2 linked regions of the Arabidopsis thaliana genome follow. The protein of the gene in region 1 interacts with the protein of each later gene in a pairwise test. Each region holds a gene or a part of one and is shown on either strand. Other genes may lie near its edges.

Region 1 (5,532 bases):
TATTACCATATTCGTCAAACTTTTCACCTTTAAATTTGAATCCTTCCTTTTTCTCTACAGTATTATATGCTTTTTTTTCCACGATCGCCAACAACCGGACAAGTATAATGGAAACAACAACACGTTATCTCGAATATGCATAATGTCAAAAAATTACCTCCACGTAAAACGAAACCTGTTGCACACCAAGCCGTGACTTAAAAATAAAGACCACTATTCGATAATGCAAGATACGGCTAAAAACACTCAATCATGAGCCACATTATCAAATAATCATTTAACCGCTTCCCAAAGCCTAACAGATAAAAGATGTCAGTCGATAAAACACATAAATGTCAGAATCTAACATCTCCATGTGATACTTGTGTGTGTTGTCACATTCACTTCTTCACTCATCATAACAACATCGGCCCACGACGCCGGTTATAAGATGCGGCGAACCTGATCCGTTAAAAATACCACTAGACAATTTTTTATATTTTTTATTTAAAATTATTATAGAGTGAAAACTGAAAACAACTTATTCACGATTCATCGTTTATTTATTTCTTTTATGTGGTCAAACTTTTTTATTATTATTATTATAAATAAAACGGGAACGGCTACATTTGAAGGGGGAAATAAATATAAAAAGATCCGAATTTCACAAAAGGCTTTCATAATTCGGATCTTCTTACTTAAAACCTTAAACAACGATGGATCATGGATCTCATCATGTTCTTATTTAATAACTTTTATTTAAAGAAATCGTACAATGACGATTTTACGATAATATAATGCAACAACAAACCACACGACGACCACCTTTTCTCACGCAGAGATGTAATCGTAGACGTCTTCGTCGCAGTAGTAAAACCCAAGGTTACTGATCGCAGCTGAAAGAGAGTTACTTGGCGATGCCTGCTCAGTTGCAAGATACGGCATGTTGTGGAACGAACGGTCGAGAGAAGCCGCCACATTGTTGAACTCATCATCTTCTTCTTCCTCTTCATTTTCACCTTCGCTACCACCTTTGGTATGCATCATTTCCTCTGCTCGGTGCTTTAGGGTCTGAAACATTAGCTCCGGCTCATGCTGCATTGCTCGGAGAACATCCGCTGAGGACTGACCAGGCACCGCTCGGGTCACTGCAAAGCTGTGTGGTCCATCGCTCTGGGAGACCCGGACAACGCTTGGTCCACCAAACAGATTGTGGACTCCACCGAGAGCCTCCTCGTAAGCCCCTCCAAGGAACATACCCAAAAAGTACCTTCCTCCACTGCCATTCTTGTCCAGCTCGTGCAACGGCAAGCTGGATTCACCGCCTATGAACTTGTTGATCTTCCCGTCACTATCACACGTTAAATCTGAAAGGATTCCGCGAGCCCCGGGCCTTTGATCGAGCTTATGGATAGGAACTATAGGGAACAGCTGATCAATCCCCCAGAGATCAGGAATCGAAGTGAAAACTGATAGATTGATATTGTAAGTATGAACCGGATCCGATGCGCCTATAGCCTTCAACACCCACTCGCATAAACCATCAACAGAAGCTAACTGCTCGATGCTCAAAACACCTTCTTTGAAACCTTCAACACACCTCTGCTTCAGCTGATCGACATAAAGAAGGCAGCTTTCGTGGTCTCCACGCATCACAGCAGCATAAAGATCCTCATAATTGGCTCGAGCTTCCTCATTACCTTCAAGCAGGAACTGAATATCGCCGGGAGTTGCTTGATGAACCATTGGTTTATCTGCTGAAACAGCTTCAAAGATCAGCACAGAATGATGAGAGACTATCGCTCTACCGCTTTCGCTGCATATCACCGGATGTTTCACTGAGCTCCGGTCACACACAACCCGAACAGAAGCTACAACAGCTTCAGCATACTCCTCGAGACTATAAGCAACAGAGAGATCCGATTCTCCAGATTTAGACCCGTCGTAGTCAATCCCCAAACCACCACCGATATCAATAACTTTCATATGTGCACCAAGACGCACAAGTTCACAGTAAAGCTGAGCAGCCTCGGCGACACCATCAGAGAGCAACGAAGTCGACGGAATCTGTGAACCAATATGAAAATGCAGAAGCTGGAGACAATCAAGCATACCAGATTGACGCAGCTTCCTCACCACACGAACAATCTGAGTAGTAGTCAATCCAAATTTACCCTTTTCACCAGAAGTTGATCCGAAATGACCCGAATGCTTAGTCCTCAGCTTAGCCCTTAACCCAATGACAGGCCTCACATTCATCTTCTGGCTCAGCTCAATAACCAGATCAAGCTCTTCTTCTTGCTCAAGCACAATCACAGTATTCAACGCCAGTTTTCTCCCAAGCAGAGCCAATGATATATACTCAGCATCTTTGAATCCATTGCACACAAGAAAGGCATCAGGGCTACCTTTACACAAGCAGCTCATAGCAAGAAGGATCTCAGGTTTAGAACCAGCTTCTAATCCAAATCGAAACGAAGATCCAAACTTGACAATATCTTCAACAACGAATCGATCTTGGTTACATTTCACCGGATAAACACCTTGGTAATGAGAATCATATCCTTGACTTTTAATCGCGTAATCAAACGCAGATTGAAGACACTCGAGACGGTTCTTCAACACATCAGGGAAACGAACGATCAACGGAAGCTGCAATCCTAAACCACCGGAAGATTTCGGACCCGTCACCTTCTTAACGATTTTGAGCAAATCGATGTCTTGGTGAGGCAAAGTTTCAGAGCCATGAGGACGAACAGAGATGTTACCAGACGAATTGGCTATGAAATAAGGGGCTCCCCATCCATCGATTCGATAGAGAGACGATGAGAGCGACGGAGACCAACGGTCAACAACAACGGCGGCGGAAGTTGGTGATGACGCCGGGATAAAAACATCACCGGCGGTGTCGGAGAAGGCGTAGGCAGGAGGTACAAAGGACGTATCAACGCAAGCTAAAGCAGGCATCTTTATCTTCACCCTCTTATCAGCAAACGATCAACAATCTCACTTTACAGAAATTCTCGAACAAAACAAAAACTTTCGAGAGAAGAACAGAGCAAAAACTGAAAAATCAAACCTTTTTTTTTCTAATTTCCCAGAATTTGTAAAGGTAGGGGTTTAAAAACCGCCGAGGCCGGAGCCTCGGCTACCCCCTCAGGAGAAGACAGAAGATGAATCTATCCCCGCCGTGAAAACCACCTCTCGCAGCCCTTCCCGATCCGAGAATCTCCACGATGAATAATTCAGAAGAAACTCGAAAAAAAGGAAATTTTCCAAATCTGAACCCAACAACAACAAAAATTCTCTAACAGATTCTCCCAACCATGCAGAAGTGGATTTGTTTATGAAGAATTTGAGGTGGTGAGGAATTAAAAAGAGGAAAAGGAGAGAATGTGAAGGAATTCTGGGGAAAATGCAAGAAAAAACAGAGACGGAAACCTAGCGGAAAAGACGGAAATGAAGAAGAAGAAGAAGAGAAGGCGTGAGATTGATGAAGGCTATTGGCACTTGCTTATATAGGGACTAGGGAATCAGGAACCAACGTGAGAAGGTTATGACTGAGGCAAGTTTGATTTGGGCCATGGGGCCCATTTACGATTACGTTTTATACTTTTCTTTTTCTTTCAACATTGTATTTTTTCCCTCTATTAAAAGAAATTTACCCTACATTTCTTTAGGTGCTTTGCTCCAACAAAAAAAAAAAAAAAAGATTTTTGTTGGAGAACGATTTTTATTTAGAGAACAATTTTAAAATAACCTTTATATATTTACCGGACAACAACGGAAGTGGATTTTTTTTTTTTTTGTTAATTCTATTTTAATTTATAATCTTTTCGTTTCTGTATTCCCTACACTGAGAAGTGGGAATTACTGGCAACTCGTGTAACTCGTGTTGTGGTCTCGTCTACTAAACATTTTTGGTTTTTTCTGTAAGCCTGTTATGTATCGACATTTTCTTTTTCAAACCACGACAGCAAAAGAAATTAACTGTATTCAAAGATTGGTACAAGGAGCCTATGCTTTCAACTTGCGCTAGATGGATGGACCATTAATTAATTGAAGCTTAGACTATATATGTCTATCACCAATAATTGCGTAATTTGGTAGTTGCATGTGCTTAATGGACCATTAACCCTAAAACAATGTCTCTTTATCTCACACACACACACACACACACACACAAAATTGCTTTTGTGTTTTAAGACAAATTTCCTTCTTTTGTTTTGTTTTTTTTCTTCACGACAAATTTCCATGTTAGCAATAGTAAAAGTGTTCTTTTGTTGCTGATTAAATAATGTATTATATTAGGGAAAAACATATACATTAAATACAGGGATAATTTTGTTGATGCTGTCTGGTTTGAAAAAGAAAAAGCTTTATTCATGAACACTCGGCTACGAGGCGCCGCGTGGCGCCCTTACGTGGGAAGTGGTTGTGTTATGATGTTTCGTCTCTGCTTCTTCTCCTTTTGCCCTTTTTAGGTTAAATTTTAAAATTGCGCCGCTCGTCTTTTCACGTGCGAATGAATATATAAGTGTTCGTGTACGTGTGACGTTATTATCAAATCCGACGATATCCAACGACGAGATCTATGATTCTTAGTCCAACGGATAAGAATTTGCCACGGTATCTGTTTGTTCTTGTTTTTCCTTAGGCATAGTTAAGTGCGAAAACATTAGAGGGCCATATTTTTTGATTGCATAAATTTTGGAAGCATGTAAATAAATGTAGTGACCCTCTCTTTCAACATGTTTTTGTTTATCGCATACTTTCTTAGATCAACATCGTGTATCTGGTCGATTTCTTAAACCTGATACCAAAGCATACTAATTTCGAGAGTATCTGGTCGATTTCTTATACTCGATACCAAAGCTTACTACTATATTCGAGAGTATCTGGTCGATTTCTCAAACTCGATACCAAAAACTATAATGTTTGAGGGTTGTCATGCTCTTTGAAATTAGTTTTCTGTAAACTTACCACAAAATAATCATTTAGGTCAAAAAGGTACAAGAGTTTTAGTTGGCCTCAACAAAACAACTTAGTTTATATACAGTGGAAATCGCAGGGGAGGTGTGATCCCTTTCCCTTGGATCATAGCCCGACTATCTCTGGTGCATTATCTTGTTTGGAATCTTCTTTTGTTTTTCTGCGTTTAACGGTGATATATTATACGAATTTGAAGTAGGACGGTAGCACATCAATAACACTAATACAAACCACTATATTACATGTCATATTCGTTTTCATTTGTTATAACATTCTTACGAGAGCTTAAAATTGTAGCCAAAAGAACCAAGTATTCACAAATTCTTCAAAGACAAGAGAAAACATAGAACTATTAATAAAAATGCGAAGAAGTATCGAGTTCTGGAAACACTAGATCATTTGGACGATTCACAATAAATTGAGTTGTTGAGAAGGTACACTAAATTATAAATCCACTTTTTTGACAAACAACTTGATTTTTGTACTAGCAAAGATAAAGAAAAAAAAGAAGAAGAGGAAATCGATTAAAATTAGTAAAATACTAATTACATAAAAAGTGGA
Region 2 (4,583 bases), on another chromosome or scaffold:
CCTTACCGATCGCTCTTGCTCGCCTGGTGATCTCGATTTGAACAATGCTACTGAAGTAAGTCCCCCTCTGACCAATTTCTTTACTGTTGAAACTGTCTCTAGTAGGCATAAAATTGCACTTGTACAAAGAAATCTTAGTGATGTCAAAACACTCTCAGGCATGGACCAGTTTCGTGTGCCAAGTGAGCCAGAACGGGACTTGCACCACAACAGGAAGGCTTACACCTGCGCTGTACAGTCAGATGGCATCAGGTGTTAATATCAGCACGGGATTGATCAGAGACGCGCCATTCCTGGTCCAGCTTCAGGACTGTTCATACGCAAAACAGACCTTTAGAGACATAACGAATGACCATTGTCCTGGACTACAGCGTTATGGCTATTGGGTCTATGTGGGTCTGGCCATTTTAGCAACGGCTGTGATGCTCTCACTTATGTTCTGGATCATTTACAGTAGAGAGCGAAGGCATCGGAAGGAAGCTCTGCCTGAATTTTCTGAAAGTAAGGAGATTGTAAGAGTTAACTTTTGATGTATGTCTCTGTAGATCTTAAGCAAAATGTTTCAAGTCTCAAGATACTTGATTTGTGCTTTCATGTCTGAACATAGTCCACTGAGAAAAATGAAAATTTAGATACCAGTCAATGAAGGAGAGTCTTGTACTTGTTATTACAGTGAAATGTAAACACGAAACCTTTGGTTTTCTAAGGTTCTTCGCATAGATATATGCATTAAGATTATACTTTTCGACCCTGAAAGACCTTGAAACCAAATGGGAAATTTTGCACACCAAGTTTTTGACTATCTTTAGTTCATGTTTCCAACTTGGCTGCAGCAGATGCATAGCTGACACTGCTGTCTCGCATTGTCTGGCATTGGCTTGACTGCTCGTACCGCAGGAAATTGATCTTAATCTTGCTTGATGAATGTTTTAGCATCTGAAAGCAATCACAAACATAAAACAGAAGTAGTAAGTTGTGAGGAATATCTACAAACCAGATACATGCAAAGTAGCCTCGGTGAGTACCAGATTCACCATTATATTGGTTGCATCTAAAAGAAAAGTATCTAGATACTAAATAAGAAGGCAGCAAGCTTAAGGCTATTTTTTCATGAAGTTATTGACCAATGCAAAGAAACAGTCTAGCACTACTTACATGGAGAAAAATACTGATCGGGTGGCGCCCACAAATCGTGTTTTCAAATTCCAGAAGATACTTCTTAAAGGCATCAGGATCTCCTGTCTCTATTATATCCATTCCCTTCTTGTCTAGAGCCTCAATCGATTTGTGTATAGCACCATGAGTGTTGTCATAATGCATGTAATTAAACCTATAACCAAAAACATATGAATATAAACATAACAGAGCGCAATTAGCTCACTGGAAGGGCCTCAGAAAATCTGGTTATGCAGTTAAGGCGAATTTTAGAAAGAGATAAAGAGAAAAAGATATCATTTCTCAAGCAATGTCCATCAAAAGTAACGTTACATCAGAATGTGGTACTTCAATGAGAGAAAGGAGATGAAGAGCTAAGACAAACCTTGAGCCCCAGTGGCAAAAGTCAGAGGACACTGAGAAAAAGTTCTTGGGATCGTCCACATATTTAGCAAGCAATTCACCGTACATGGCTTCATTCTCTGGACTTACTGCTCCAACCAAGATGGGTACAACTTTCACATTGTTCCTGATCAAAATATTAAAATGGAGCCAGTCTCAGCAAATTCCGCCATGTCATTCATAGTTATTCAGAACCTTAACATCACTACTACCCCTGTGATTACCCTTCAAATACTTTGGCCAAATACGGTAAGTGCATTTCCATGCTGTGCTCAGCCTCATCGACCCGTAGATCCATCATTCCAAATTTTCCCATAGCTCGTATCTCCTTAATCACTGGTGAATTCATATGAAAACCAGAAGAGAACATCTTTCCTCACCAACTGAAAGAAAATCTTTCTTTGATAAGTTAAGCTAAGCTAGACAAACTTACTCTCCACATCAACAGGTAGATTTCCAATGGGGGTTTTATAAACTGTTGCAGTCGAAAGGGCACATTTTGGAGTATAAAAGTGGTGAGATGGACCAAGAAGAAATATCCGTGAACTGAAATGAGACTAGTCAGAAATAGTAATGGTCTACTCATGACACTCTTCCAAAATATAGGCGAGCTTACTTACATGTTAGTAGGATCTATGTTTGCAAAAGCATAAGCAGCTGCACGACCGGAGTACGAATAACCTGCGTGTCTGGATTCCTTCAAAAAGTTAGTGCAAGTGTAATCACTTCTCCGAGGAAATGAGATAAGCAAGAACAGCTTACGGTGCAATGACGCCTCGTACATCAGGAGATTTGGTCAAACCAGTTGCATTAAGCCATTCTTCAAGATCAGATGACAATTTTGTAGCTGACAAAGAAACATAAAACAGGCTTGAGATTCTAAAAACCAAAAAAAAGTCAAACCTCACTGCTAAATGTATTTGTTTCTAAAAACAAAGTCACTGAAATTTTCTAGAGTTATCAAACCCTAAATCCAGATACTAAACATCAGATCAAATTAAACCCAATTTAGCAAAACGAATTTAAGTAATCACAATATCAAAACTTTAACCTTTAAGCAGTTAAACTAAAATCAATGATCAACAAATGAAGAACAAAAGGAATAAGAATATGAAATCAGTATTATGAAACCTAAAACCTAATCTTCAGCCCAAATTAAGATGATTGAGCATGCAAGTAAAAATCAGAACTCACGATTATCGGTATACCAAGAGCCTGCATGTGTTGGTTGTCTTATCTTCTCCATTATCGCAAAGTAATTGAAGGATCGTGATCGCAGACGAAAAACCCTAATTTCAGAGCTTTCCTAAACTTGCGGGAGATGACTAAAGAAGATTCTACTTCTGTGTTGTGTTACTTCTCTGGGTTTCTTCGCCAACTCGGGGAAGAAACTCAGTGCAAAACTGTGTGCCGTGTTTATTTTTTCCTATAAACATTCGTGCTGTTTTTCCTTACTACACTCTTTACAGATACGCATGACAACAAGTACCTGGGCTTCGGTTTTTCGTTTGGATCGGTTCTTTCGGTTTTCAGGTAATTCTGGTATGTAAATTTGGTAAATCTATTTGGAACCGATTAATATTCGGTTCCATATGGATTATTCAAATTTGAAGCAAATAAGACTCGAAAAGGTTTCGGTTTCGATTGGTTGTTGTGTAACCAAGAGTAACCAAACTACCCGATTTAACCAAAATACCCATACAAAACCATAATAATATGATCAAACCACTAGAATCTGAACCGAACTAAAGAACTGTGGGTTTTACACGAACCAAATCAAAAACCATTAGGTTCTACAAATTGGAACCATTCAGTTCTTATGAAATAAATACCCGAAACCGAACCAAATCCCAAATTTTGGTTCTGTTCGGTTCTATGCTGGTTAAATATGCCCATGTGGTGTAGTGTAGATCCTTGGTTACTTTATTATGGTTTTGGGCTTTATTTTCATGTTGATTTTCTATTGTTTATTGAGCTTTGGCACTGACGTTAGGCTAGGATTTTATGTTTTGTGTCTTCTATTTAAGTTAGCCGCTATGCTCTATTGTAGGACAGCTTTTGATTATTGAATTAATATAGAGCTTTGAGTTCTTCTTTTGAGCATCGTTTTCTATCCTCGTATCTTCCTTGTTATCGGTTATTCTTCGTGAATCAACGATTTTCAAGAACGAACGGCTATTCTTTGGAATCAACGTCATCGAGTCTATCGTAGCTCACCCTACACTACCAATCTACCATGCCTGTTAACAACTTGCCATTCTACTTCAAGAATAGAAACAGCACGTCGTTTCTAATTGTAGGATGGTTAACAGTTCTGAGTGCCACAAGCCAAAAACATTCACCATCTTATTAATTAATAACCAATCCAATCCATAGATACAAAGACTAATCCAAAAAATCGATGAATAAAAAAGTTAAAAAACTTTTGTCCAAAAAAAAAAAAAAAAATACAAAACTATGATATAATTACAAACCCACCAAAAATGAAATAATGAATTAACAAATATGTTGAACCCATCTGCACAAAAAAAATAACATCACGCTCATCTTCTTCACAGCAATACCCGCCAAGAGATTAAAAAAAATATTGCTTCAATGCTTCCATAAGCTGAGAACCAAACCAAAAATCGAAGAAAACTTGCGTATAACTCCCAATGAATAGTGAATACTATACCTGTAATAACAATTGCTGGAACAGATCAAGAGATTAGTTTTTCATCAAACACCAACCTGAAAAACTCCGAATTTTCAGACAAACCTTTATAAAAACTGAAAACTGATGCCGGCTGATATGATGACTGTTTCGTCACTGAGGCCCTGAAAACACATTCTCCAAAATATCATGAAGTTTCGGTGACCGTCTTCGGAACAAAGGTTCTAGCCGGAAAGATGGGACACCAATCTGCCATCTTTTGGCATCATACATCTCATTCCATGCCTGTACTATCTCATCGATCTTGAATCCCATACCTACAGTTATTGTTTGATTGTTATATTCACTGCCAATATTTGCAGGTAATTTCGCT

Evidence for each region. The genes of interacting proteins can lie anywhere in the genome.
Region 2: the proteins of ADC2 (region 1) and AT2G25280 interact in a two-hybrid assay, tested with the Arabidopsis thaliana proteins (one large-scale study listed by BioGRID).

The regions. Positions count from the first base shown.
Region 1 is NC_003075.7:16,559,505-16,565,036, forward strand, and holds ADC2 (arginine decarboxylase 2), read right to left. Parts: upstream 3,541-5,532; 5' UTR 2,947-3,540; coding exon 811-2,946; 3' UTR 526-810; downstream 1-525. UniProt on the Arabidopsis thaliana protein: Required for the biosynthesis of putrescine. Catalyzes the first step of polyamine (PA) biosynthesis to produce putrescine from arginine. Is a major contributor to basal arginine decarboxylase (ADC) activity and putrescine biosynthesis.
Region 2 is NC_003071.7:10,761,829-10,766,411, forward strand, and holds AT2G25280 (AmmeMemoRadiSam system protein B), read right to left. Parts: upstream 2,983-4,583; 5' UTR 2,804-2,982; coding exon 2,752-2,803; intron 2,405-2,751; coding exon 2,320-2,404; intron 2,247-2,319; coding exon 2,178-2,246; intron 2,104-2,177; coding exon 1,991-2,103; intron 1,894-1,990; coding exon 1,782-1,893; intron 1,685-1,781; coding exon 1,541-1,684; intron 1,437-1,540; exon of another isoform or gene 1,418-1,436; intron 1,331-1,417; coding exon 1,156-1,330; intron 1,100-1,155; exon of another isoform or gene 937-1,099; coding exon 811-936; 3' UTR 531-810; downstream 1-530. Other genes in the region: AT2G25270 (uncharacterized protein), read left to right, coding at 1-55, 159-530; Phox1 (Octicosapeptide/Phox/Bem1p (PB1) domain-containing protein / tetratricopeptide repeat (TPR)-containing protein), read right to left, coding at 4,364-4,527.